3 linked regions of the Diceros bicornis minor genome follow. The protein of the gene in region 1 purifies or fractionates together with the protein of each later gene. This does not show direct contact. Links are inferred from orthologs where the notes say so. Each region holds a gene or a part of one and is shown in the gene's direction. Other genes may lie near its edges.

What was found.
Region 2: the proteins of CD81 (region 1) and IGSF8 purify together in Homo sapiens (co-immunoprecipitation; 3 studies listed by BioGRID and IntAct, with this or other methods). This does not show direct contact. The link is inferred for Diceros bicornis minor from reciprocal best matches to the Homo sapiens genes CD81 and IGSF8.
Region 3: the proteins of CD81 (region 1) and PTGFRN purify together in Homo sapiens (co-immunoprecipitation; 7 studies listed by BioGRID and IntAct, with this or other methods). This does not show direct contact. The link is inferred for Diceros bicornis minor from reciprocal best matches to the Homo sapiens genes CD81 and PTGFRN.

The regions. Positions count from the first base shown.
Region 1 is NC_080770.1:2,345,239-2,348,979, reverse strand, and holds the start of CD81 (CD81 antigen), read left to right. Parts: upstream 1-862; 5' UTR 863-995; coding exon 996-1,061; intron 1,062-3,741. UniProt on the Homo sapiens protein: Structural component of specialized membrane microdomains known as tetraspanin-enriched microdomains (TERMs), which act as platforms for receptor clustering and signaling.
Region 2 is NC_080743.1:64,784,235-64,787,975, reverse strand, and holds the start of IGSF8 (immunoglobulin superfamily member 8), read left to right. Parts: upstream 1-1,191; 5' UTR 1,192-1,502; coding exon 1,503-1,851; intron 1,852-3,741. UniProt on the Homo sapiens protein: Member of the immunoglobulin superfamily (IgSF) that links tetraspanin-enriched microdomains to the actin cytoskeleton and plays several important roles in innate and adaptive immunity.
Region 3 is NC_080743.1:49,262,941-49,266,681, forward strand, and holds the start of PTGFRN (prostaglandin F2 receptor negative regulator), read left to right. Parts: upstream 1-970; 5' UTR 971-985; coding exon 986-1,190; intron 1,191-3,741. UniProt on the Homo sapiens protein: Inhibits the binding of prostaglandin F2-alpha (PGF2-alpha) to its specific FP receptor, by decreasing the receptor number rather than the affinity constant. Functional coupling with the prostaglandin F2-alpha receptor seems to occur.

The DNA.
Region 1 (3,741 bases):
CTCTTCATCTTCACGTCACCTGGGGACAAAGCGCCCCTCACTTGATATGGCACCTCTCCACTTCCTCATTGCCCAGGCAGTGAGGGCAGGAGGCAGTGGGTGGGCCTCCCTGGGCTACTGGCACCATCAGGGTGTCCATGAAATACACAATATTTGGAGGTTCTCCTATAGGTGTCTTAGGCCTCCTGGACACTTAACACTGGTCTAGGGGACACCCTCTCAGCGACCTTTCCAAACACTGACTCCTCTAACAGCGGGCAGCAACTCCCCCTGTCCGCGGGACAAGGGCTTGGCTGCCTAGAATTTCGCTGTAGGATTTTCAGGCCAGGCCCCCTGACACTCAGGCTTCACCCAGGTCCTGTTCCCAGCGAGCAATGTAAACAAAGCTCGCGGCTATCTTGGCATAACCATCACCAGCGCATCATCTCCTCCAGGGAGCCTCCTTGGATATCCAAGGAGCCTGAGGGAGGAGAGAAGGAGAGAGGGAGAAGGTCTTCCCTGGCCACCCCTGGCGGCAGGCCTTTCCTCAGGCGCAGCCCCTAGTAGAGGCTCGGGGCGCGCCAGCGGCTCTGGGACGCCTGCCGCGCGCCGAACAGAGCGTCCGAGCCCCGTGGTGCTTGCGGCACTGAGGTCCTCTTAGCGTGGGCACGACGGAGGAGGGGTTGCGGGCCGCCTCGGCGGAGGCCGGGCTGGGGACCAGACTGCAGCCCCTGCGCGCCCGGCAGGCGGGGGGCGGGGCGGAGCGGGATGAGCGGGGCCGGGAGGCGGAGCCTGCCGGGCGTGGGGGAGGGTGCGGCGCCCGATAAGTGGTGGAGCGGAGCGCGCGCCCGCCCAGAAAGCGAGCGCGCCCCGGCCAGGCCTCCTGCGCCGTGTGCCTCTCGTCTGCGCGCCTCTTACGCCCCCGCTGTCGCTTTCAAGCCGACCTCTCGGCCCCCGGCCGCTGCTCGCCAGGCCCCGGCCCCGCCGCCCCTCGCCCAGGACCGGCCCGCGCCGCCATGGGGGTGGAGGGCTGCACCAAGTGCATCAAGTACCTGCTCTTCGTCTTCAATTTCGTCTTCTGGGTGAGCCCCGGCCGGGCAAGGGGGGGCGGGGCGCGCGCCCCGAGCACCGCAGGCCGCGCGCCCCGCTAGGCCCCGCAGAGGGGGCGCAGCCGGGCCGCCAAGTTGCTGGGCCACCTGTGCGCGCCGGGCGCGGGGCGGGGAGTCCTGGGCCGGTAGGCTGCGACGTTAGGGGCCGTCTGGGGCCGCCGCGCCGCTTTACGGTGGGGCGGGGGGCTGCGAGCCGGGTTTCGGGGCCTCTGCGCGTCCGGGCCCAGAGCCCCGCGGCCGGGCCGGGGCGTTTGGGCGCCTCGGGTCTGTTACCGATTGGTGATAGTCGGGGTTGCGGTGGGTGCGGGCTCTGGGCCGCGTACCCCGCCGCCGCTCAGCCCACCTGGCGCTGTTCCTGGGACCACCCTGTTTTGCGAGGATGGAGAGGGGGCTCGAGGGCGGGGCTCCCGGCGCCCCGCCCCCATGAGCTCATCGAGGCCACCTCCCCTTGATGGTCGGCCGGGTGAGGAGGGGGGCGGGGGGGTTGCGCACACTCCGTCCGAGTCTTGAGGAACGTCCACCCCACTCTTGGCCTAGCCCAGCTCACCCCCCAGTCTGCTGTCGCCATCCTGGGGATCGTCCTGGGGGTCCGGGCCCGGGGCGGAGCTCAGACAGAAAGCGCCCTGGGCCCTGATGGCCCGTGTGCTGGGGTGCTTGCACCATAGTGGCCCCGGTTTGTGTGGTCCGGTCCTCTTGCCCTCCTCACCCAGACTGAGATTCCATCCCAGCCTCGACCCCCGGAGCTTTGAGGGGAGTGGGGTCCGAGCCTGCGTTCTGAGCTGGCACAGGGCAGGGGGCTGTGAAGACCTGAGCGCCTCTGAACTCTGGGGGCCTGGGTCCGGGTGGGTGCCCAGATCCGGGCTTGGGCATCCACTTTGGAAAGAGGAGCGCCACAGGGTGGTCATCTCTGGGTGCGGCAGGGTCTCCCCGGGGTCCCCAGGCTGCTGGCCTGAGAGTTGCGTCTTCCTGACCTTATTCTTAATCTCTGCCCAGTGACTGATGACGCTTTTGCTTTTGTTTCTGTTTGCTGTCGATGTTGGAATGGGGAATGGGGTGGAGATCTCTTTTTGGCTTGGTAGGCCCCTGGATGGGTGTCAGGAGCTCGCTCGATGGCCGTGCCCTGCCTCCTCTCAGTGCTCCCCTGGGCAGTGACCAGGACCCCCTGCCGGGCCCCCTCACTGCTGCTTTGCCACCCCAGGCTGCTCACCCCTTCCCACTGAGGACCAGGGTGATGCCTGGGGGGTGGCGTATTTTTCAAGTTGACGCAGGGAGGGTGAACTTTTTAAATGGCCCCTGGAGCCAGTGTGTGGGACTGGGGACATGTGCTTGCCATCTGGACGGCCGGTGATCTCAGGGCAGATCTCGGGGCAGTGAGGTATTTGGGGTGGGGAGGACAGAGACTGGACTAAACTCTAGCTGGGGGTGGAATGGGGTGTCACATCCTACCTGGGGTGGTGTCGGTGTGGATTTGGTGTTTGCCTCCTTTGGCCCAGGCAAGTGGGGAACAACGTCCAGACACCTCTCGGCTGGCCCCTGAGCCCATCCCCTACAAGCAAAGCCTGGATGTTGGGGCGAGGACCCCGGTGGGGAGGTGGAGGGGAGGCAGAGGAAGGGAACTTCTCCAGGAGTGGATTCTTGCCTGGGGCTAGATGTCAGTGCGGGGCTAGGTGTCAGTGCGGGTGGCAAGTCCCTCCCACCTGCCCAGCCTGGGAGGTCTCCAGGACGGGACCCCTGGAGCTCAGCCTGGCTGAATCTGATAGTTTCCCAGGCAGCTGGGATGGAGGCCTTGCATTCCGGCCCGCTTTCTATTGAGGCTTAAGGAAATGCTTCCAAGGCCTCTCCTCTCCCTTCCTGGGGCCTGCCCAGCTGAACATTGAGAACTGGAGCCATCTATAGTCACCATGGCCCCACCCACCCATGCTGGGCCACCCCCTGCAGTGGGGAGATGCTGGGCTGAGCCAGGCGGGGCTGCCGGGCACCACCGTGTCAGAGCTGCTCTCTGCCCCCTGGCATCTCTTGGCTGAGAGCATGGTGCAGGGGCGAGTTTGGCCGGGTGGAGTCCCCACCCCACTGCTCTACTGCTCTGGTGCTCTGGGTCCTGGGCCTCAGCTCCCTCCCCTCTGAAGTGGGAGTCCTCAGACTCCTCTCTCCTGGGATTGTTGGTGGATCAGCTAATGGGAGTAGAGGCCACGCTCAGGAAATGGATGTTGGGCAAGGTGGCTGGCCGGGAAGACAGCCAAGGAGAGCCAAGCCTGTTGGTGTAGGCAGTGCCTCGGGGAAGGGGCTTTGGGTGCCTGGGAGGCTCCTGCAGGGCCCAGTGGCTGAAGGAGGGCTCCTGGTGCCTAGCCTGACTCCTCACCGTGCACCCCGGCCCTAGTGCAGTAAGGGGGTGCTGAGGGCAGGAGCCAGGAGGAGAGGTTGATAATAGGTATCTGGATAGGGGCACTTTTTCAAGTTCCGTATTAGAGAGTAAAAAGGCTTCCCGCGTGGGAGGAGGCATCAGAGGCAGTCTGGCATGCTTCTGCAAAGAGGAACCCGGTCACCCTGCATGCCCACACACATACTTGCTCCCCCACCCTCTGCACAGAGACCCCAGGGCCCCGTGCAGTGTGCAGTCAGCCTGCCTGCCCACAGCCTGCTTTGGGGCTCCCTG
Region 2 (3,741 bases), on another chromosome or scaffold:
CCTCTCTTTAGGCCTAAAGGAAACCTTAGCATGCAGTTTAAATAAAAATTCAAAAACAAAGGAAAAAACACACACCCTATCTTCTATTTCGTGTTATCCTGTGCCCAACACCTTATGTACATTATCTCAATTAATCGTCACAAAAACCCTTTGGGGTGGATGTCACCCCACTTCAATTTGCCCACAAGAAAACTGAGGTTGAAAGAAGTTAAGCAACTTGACCAGGATCACCAATCAAGAAGTGACGGCGCCCAGACGGCCCACTCTCCTAACCCACTTCCTCTGGTTCTGCCCAGAGCGGGTGGCAAACCGGTCTCCCGTGACCTTGCGGAGCCCTGACACGCCTTTCAATCCAGATCCTCCGCGCTCCGGAAGCCCTGGGTCCCGCCCATCGCCACTTCGGCGGAGTTTGCTGCGAGGCCTAGCGGCCCAGAGCAAATAACTGGATTCTAAGTGGGTGGCTTTAGTCACCTCACCGACCGCAGGGCCCCGGCACCCAACTCTCAGGGAAAGGCCGGCAGGTGCGAGGCGAGGGTGCACTCTGCGCGGGGCTGGGTGGAGATTTAGCAGCGCCCAGGAGCCACCAGTTTGAGCTGGTCGGCGTCGGGGCGGAGCCGGGGCCGGGCGGGGCGGGGGCGGGGCCTGTAGGGGTGGAGCCAGGACCTAGGTGGGCGGGGCTTGGGCCGGGGTCAGGGCGGGGCTTGGGCCGGGGTCAGGGCGGAGCCGGGAACAGGTGCGAGCGCAGCCCGGGCTGAGGTCCAGGACCTGGGTAGGGACGGAGCCGGGGACCAGGGCTGGGCCAGGGTCAGGACGGGTCAAGGCAGGGTTGGGGACCGGGGCAGGGTCGGGAGCCCGGGGCTAGGGCGGGGGCGGGGCCCGGGCAGGGCGGGGCGGGAATGGTCCTCGGAGTCGCCGAGGCGGGAGGGAAAGCGGGGGGAGGAGGAAGAAAGGAGGAGGGGAGGAAGGAGGGGACTTGGAAGCTCCCGCTCGGCTCAGCTCGGCTCTGCGCACCCACGCCTCACTGCACTGCTTCGTGCCCCCCACCTGGGCATGCGCCCCCCGAGTTCCCGGCCACCCAGAGCCCGCGCCATCCCCCGGAGCCTCCCCAGAGCGGGCCGCGCAGGATGGGCGCTCTCGGTCCTCCGCTGCTGCTGCTGCTAATGCTGGGTAAGCCCGGCCCCCGCCCTGGCCCTCAGCCCCGCCGGGCAGATATCTGGCACCTGGCTACCAGTCCGGCCGTCACCCCAGCATTTCGGAGCCCCTCGCACCCTCCTTCTCCATCAGGGGCGCCTCCAGCTTCCCTGGGCTCGACGCCCAGCTGCCTTTTTGTGGCCGTCCGCCGAGCCGGTCTTGGGGGTTGGTGAAGGCTCCCCAGCTCTAGGCCACTGACTGGGGCACAGTGAGGACCCACCGAGGTGCCTCCCCCAGGGACGGCCAGGCCTCCGGGAGCCAGGCCCCACTTCTAGGCCGGCATACTCAGGTCTTGGGGTCACTGCGCCCAAATGCTGAGAATCATCTCTGCCTCAGTCAGCCTCAGGCCCAGCCTTGGGTGCCTGCCCTGCGTGGGCAGTGCCTGCCCGGCTTCATCATTGCCTGGGGTTGGCTGGAGGCCCAGGGGTCGGTTCTTACCCCCCCTTCATCATCTGAGTTTGGGGGCAGTTCCCTCTCTCACCCCCATCTCCACTCTGGGCAGATCTCCCTTTGCCCCACTTTCCCTCTTCCAAATGGCACTTGGCTCTGTAGCCTCCCACTGGTTGTCACACCCCCCTAGTCCCAGCTTCCCTGCCTTAGGAGAAACCAGGCTCCATGGAGACAGCTGCTGGGATCTCCAAGCACCCAGTGCCTGTCGTGGTGGGTGTTCACGGGGGGGTGTTCTGGGCCACCGCTACTGGATGCATGGGGGCAGTGACAGTGGAATTGGTTTTGGCCTGAACTGGAGGGTTCCCTGTAGGAGGCGGTCTGGGGAGGAGTATGGCACGAAGGCAGCGATACCTGTACAGATGTTCAGGAGACTGAGGCCCTTGAAATAAGAGCACAAGGGGGGGCTGGGGGGTGGCCTCGTCGCCAGAATTCAGAGCTGCCGTAGTCAAGGTGCAGGCTGACGTAGCCCCAGCTACCTATTTCTGGACCAGAGCTCCACTGCAGCGCCAAGCAGAGTCTCCCCCTGCTGCATAGGTCTCTGGCCCCTGTGGGACTAGAATGAGTCCTCTCTGCGGGGACCTGGGAGGGAGGCAGGAGGGTGTACAGAGGAAGGAGCTGTGGGGCCTGGTTGCCTAGCGCTTGGCCTGTTTTCCCCAGTGGGCAGCGTGGAGCAGAGAGGAACCCAGGGGAGGTGGCGTAGTGTGGTGCGCAGAGATGGAAGAGCCTGCCGAGATCTGAGCGCCCACTGCGTGCAGGCACTTAAACGTTCATTTCACAGATGAGGAAAATGAAGTAACTTGTCCCAGCGAACACGTCTCGTGATTGTTGGGGCTGGGATTTGAACCCAGATCCATCTGACTCCAAAGCAGGCCTCTTTGCTCTCTCCCTTCCCTCTCTAACACCGAGGAGGGGACCTGGCTGGGGAGAGACAGTGGCCTGGCAGCTGGTTTCCTAAGATGGTGGGGTGACTTTCCCATGGGGATCTCCAAGCATCAGCAGTTGTGGAGCCAGGAAGGTGGGAGGGGTCCATCTGAGCAGAGTCTGCCTGGAGGCCAGGGAAGATGTCAGCTCGGCTGGCTCTGATTATGAAATGCCCTCAGGCAGGGCCCTCCTGAGTCACACACTCACTGTCAGAGTGGAAGCTCTTTGCTCTCCTCCATTGTGGAAACTGAGGCCTAGGAGGAAGGGCCAGGGCCAGGCCATATAGCTGGGGATGGGGATGGGGCTGGGGCTGGAACCCGACCTCCTGACTCCCAGCCTGTGCTCTGCTCTAACCAAGCAACCACAAGTTCTCCTCGTGCCTTGGCCACAGGAAGCAGGGGCTAAGATTAGCCCAGCTCAGGAGGGAAAGTCAAGGGGAGCCCTTCTGGAGGAGCTGGAGGACTGAATTTGACCACAGACTTGGTGTTTTCCTCCAGCCCTTGCAGAAAGGCCCTGGGTATGTCCCTGGGGTGCCATTTTAGTTGGTGAGGTCAGTCCCCACAGGCCTGGCCTTGGAGTTCCCCATCTTTCTCCCTGGCTTTGTCCCTCTGCAGGGGCATCTGGAAGACATCCAAGGACAGTAGGATCTTGGCCAAGACATTATACTTCTCCTGCCTTACCTTGCTCATCTGTAAAATGGAGGCAGGGGGCTGACCCAGCCCTCCTTACAGTCCAGGGTTCTGTAGTCTTATCTAGCCGGGCTATGGAAGGATGGAGGGAGAGAAAGAAGAAGCTGAGCCCTTCAAGGCTGCCAGGAGTATCTGCTGGAGCAGGCTGGGGTCTGGGGGGTGGGGACAGGGTGAAGAAGAGAGTTTTGGCCTGAGGACAGAAAGATGGGATGGGGCAGCTGGGGTCAGTGTCTCCCTACAGAAAGGGAACCATATGTAAAAGATGCATGCCATATGCAAATGAAGGCTTTTGTTAGGGAGTTGAGGGGGCATAGTGCATCAGCTGGGCCAGCCAGGAAGATGGCAGGCATTGGTGGGGAGGGGATCTTCTGCCCCCGGGGGCCAGGGCAGAGACGGGTTCTTGCCCCATAAGCCTCAGCTGTCTCGGCAGCCCTGTGGGGTGGGAGAAGCAGTGAGCTCATGGCACAGCTGGAGGGGGGAGGGCATTGTA
Region 3 (3,741 bases), on another chromosome or scaffold:
AGAGGGAATAGCAGACACGCGTGGGTGACTCCAGAGTGGTGGAATGCGGGGTGTCCCGGAATGGAGCTAAAGCGATGGGATTTCCAGATGAGTCTTTCCAAGGCCAACTTTTAAAGGTCGGCGGAAAGTTGATGGAGGGGCGGGGGCCCCGAGGGGGAGAGCTGGGTGGGCTCCGACGCCTCCTCCCCTTTAAGCGGGTGGCCCCGGCGCTTCCTCCGTTACCTGGAGCGGGGAGGGGCTTGGGAAAGTTTGTGTTTGTTGCTGGCAAAGCGCCGGATGGGAGGCGCGGGCGGGCGGGCGGGCGCTGCGGTTCTTCCCTTTTGCTTTCGGGAAGCGGTCGGGGCCGCACACTCGGCTCGGCGGGGCGGCTCTGGCGCCCGGCTCCCGGTGCCCGGCCGGCTGGAGGAGGGAGGGCGGGAGGCGGCGGGCGCAGGGCAAGGGGCGCGCGTCCGCCCCAGCGCTGGGATTTCTCGGCTCGCGAGGAGAGCGGAGCAGGCGCGCGGCCCAGGCGGAGGAGCGCTGACTCTGGAGCAGCCGGAGCTGGAGGAGGAGGAGGAGGAGAGGCGGCGGGGAAGGAGGAGGAGGGGGAGAGTCGCTCCCGCCCGGCGAGCATGGGGCGCCTGGCGCCGAGGCCGCTGCTGCTGGCTCTCCTGTCGCTGGGTGAGTGCGCGCGGGGACCGGCGGGCCCGAGGGGCTCGGCGGGGCGCGGCTGCAGCGTGCGGCCTGGGGCGCCGAGGGTGCCGGGGCCGCTCCCGGGAGCCCGGCCGGGTAGGCGGGCGGCGCGGCCCGGCGGGGGACGGCTGCGGGGCCGCCGGGAGCCGGGCGCGAACCCGGCCCGGCCGCGCGCGGGGTGCGAGTCGCCGCTCTGCCAGGCCGAGCCTCGCCCCCAGCATGTGCGGGGGGGAGTGGCCCGGGGCCGGCTTCCCCCATCCCTCCCTACCTGTTGGCGGCCGGGAGCCCGGCTCACCTTGAACTCCCGGCCCGGATGGTGCTGCGGTCTCCGGCCCGCGTCCCCAGCTTGGGAGCTGAAATATGCTCCTTTGATATGCCCCGCCATAGCCGAGACCGGCGGGATCGCTCTGCACACACACAAACCCACGCCGAGCTGCCTTTCCAGGGAAGCGAGGGAATCCAACCAACTTCCTTCTACGAAGGTCACGGGATGGCCCAGAGCGCTACAATAGAAATCGGTGTGCGAGTCCTTCCGTCCTGTTAGTTGTGGCGGGATCCTCTGCCTCAGTTTTTTCTTTTAGCTCTTCTTGAAGCTGCCTGGCTGCATATTTACACACAAAGACCTAGGAGCCTTGGCCTCTCCAACTTTTCCGACCTGTTACTTTTCCTCCCTTATTGTTCCCTATCTTCCACTGTTCCTAAACCTAAACCTCTTGATTATTTGGCCTAGCGCCCTCCTCCAACCCCAGGAATCTTTGGTGGGTTTTTTTCCTCTCCATTTTCCATTCATCCATACACACAGACACCATCTTCACGCAGTGTAATATGGTATATTAACATAATCATGTGGTTATCAGCCACAGAAATACATCTGCTTATTAAGTGCCCACCATGGTACACGACGGCTGACTCTTAAATGCTCTGATATTCTTGGATCCCTTTGGTCAGTGTCAACCAGAACAGAATGAATTCTGCGATCTGACCAGGGATTCTCTTCCACACCTCTAGAGAAGGCATATCTGAATCTTTTACGAAGCGCATGGTGTGTGGTGTCAATCCCAGCCAGGCCCCAGCTGCACACAGGGTAAATGACTACTCTGCGCTTATGGTCAGAGGGTCCCAGTGGAGGCCTTCTACAGCCACTCCCATCCTGCTGGCACCAGGGCCCACACTGTCCCAACCCCCACGATTCCTGGTGCTCCTGGGTCAGCCTTTCTAGCTGCGACTGGGTTTTCTTCCTTCACCTCTGTGGGGTCTTCTGGAACTCACTCCTTAAGAGAGCTCGTCCAGCCGCATTGCTTTAGCTGCAACCATGTCCAGAAAGTTTTCAGATCTCTCCATTTTGTAGCATCTTTTCTGTGGTCTCGGATCCTAGTGCTTTTATTCTTTTTCTTTTACTCTGGGACTCTTGTAAATTCTCCATTTGTTGCACATTGCTGGTGATAGTCCACACCTGTTAATTGGCTAATGTGTCTGAGTCAAGCAGGGCCATGGCCACTGGCTGCACAGACTGTGCCCTGCACAAACTCTAGGGGCTGCTATTCACTTCGTAGTCTGTGTGAATGACTCCTCCTAGACTTGTGCAGTTCACAACCTGAGTACAAGTTAAGAGGGTGGAGTCAGGTAGAAGTTGGAAAAGAATGTCTTTGAGTAACAATGATAAGGGAGAAAAAGGGAGAGGGGGCAAAGAGAGACTGGGGAAAGCAAAACACAAGTGGGGAAAGCCCAGCTTGGGGAAGTCTTGGATGTATATCAGTGTATCCTGCCCTGGCTGGACATCTCATGTTGACTATGCATAGGGAATGTCTGTGGTGTCACCAGCCAATGCCTTTTCTCCTATCAGTTCCCTGAACTTAATATCGCGCCTGCTAACTCTGCCCCCCAGAATCTCACTCGGTGTGGCTTCAGTCTGACCTCTGGGAAGCCCTCCCTGCTGTACCACTCTTGCATGGTACTGATTCCTGAAACTTAATATGTTGATCAGCAAGATCGTCTTTCCTCTTGTATTGCAACCTGGGCGTAATCTTACTGTCACTCTCTTTGACCTCCACGTTCACACTGTCCCTCAACTCTGTGGCTTTTCCCAGAGTACAGACTTGAGTGTCTTCCCATCCTTCCTGGATCTAAAGCTACTATCCTAGCCCAGGTTCTGATAGTTCCCCATATAGATCACTTCTGACATCTTCCTGGTTGGCTTTTTCCTCTAGCCCCCCTTCTAAGTTCATCATTTTCCTAAAGGATCATTTTTGGGGATCCCGTCTTTGCTCATTGGTTCTCTATGATTTTCTTCCAAGGATATGCTGCCCCTGTGTTTTCTCTCCTCTAGTCTTCTCTCTGATTCAGACACTTCATTCTAAGTATCCTGTTTGCTTCCTTTACATAGAATAGATGTGAACCTTCTGGCTCTTCCATTTCCCGTGGCTTGGAAATGCCCTTCCTGCCTCTCTCTTCTTGCCTGTATTATTTCCTTTTTCCTCTAAGACTCATTTCCTCCATAAAGCTTTCCTAAGTCTACCTATCGTGATCACATCAGAACCCACTCAGCTTCATAGAGCACATTTTCACTTCCATTGCCTATGTCTGAGCTGTTCCCTCCATGCATTCAATACAGTATTTCGTGAACGCCCACTGTGTCTATAAAAGTGTCCCAGATAAATGACCGAGACACAGTGTCTCATTGAGTGGTCCATGGGGGTGGGTGGACAGATAATCAAACAGCTAGCTACAAGACAGAATGAAATGCCTGACATAGAAACCAGGTGCTGGTAGGAAGCAAGGAAAAGGATGATTAATTTTGACTTGGCATTGGGGTTGATTTGGCTGAAGAGGTGACATTTGAGCTGAGCCTTGAGTATAATGAGAATTTTGAAAGAAAGGATGGACGCGCATTCCAGGCTCTGGGGAAAGACGCTGAGTGTGGATGAGTGAAAGTACTTGGCTCACTTAGAAATGGCATGTAAGTTCCATGTAACTGGAGGGGGGAGGAGGAGGATATAATGGGAGAGCAAACTGGAGAGGTGGATTTGGGATGGATCCTGAAGGCTATTTGTGCTGTGCTGAGAAGTCTGG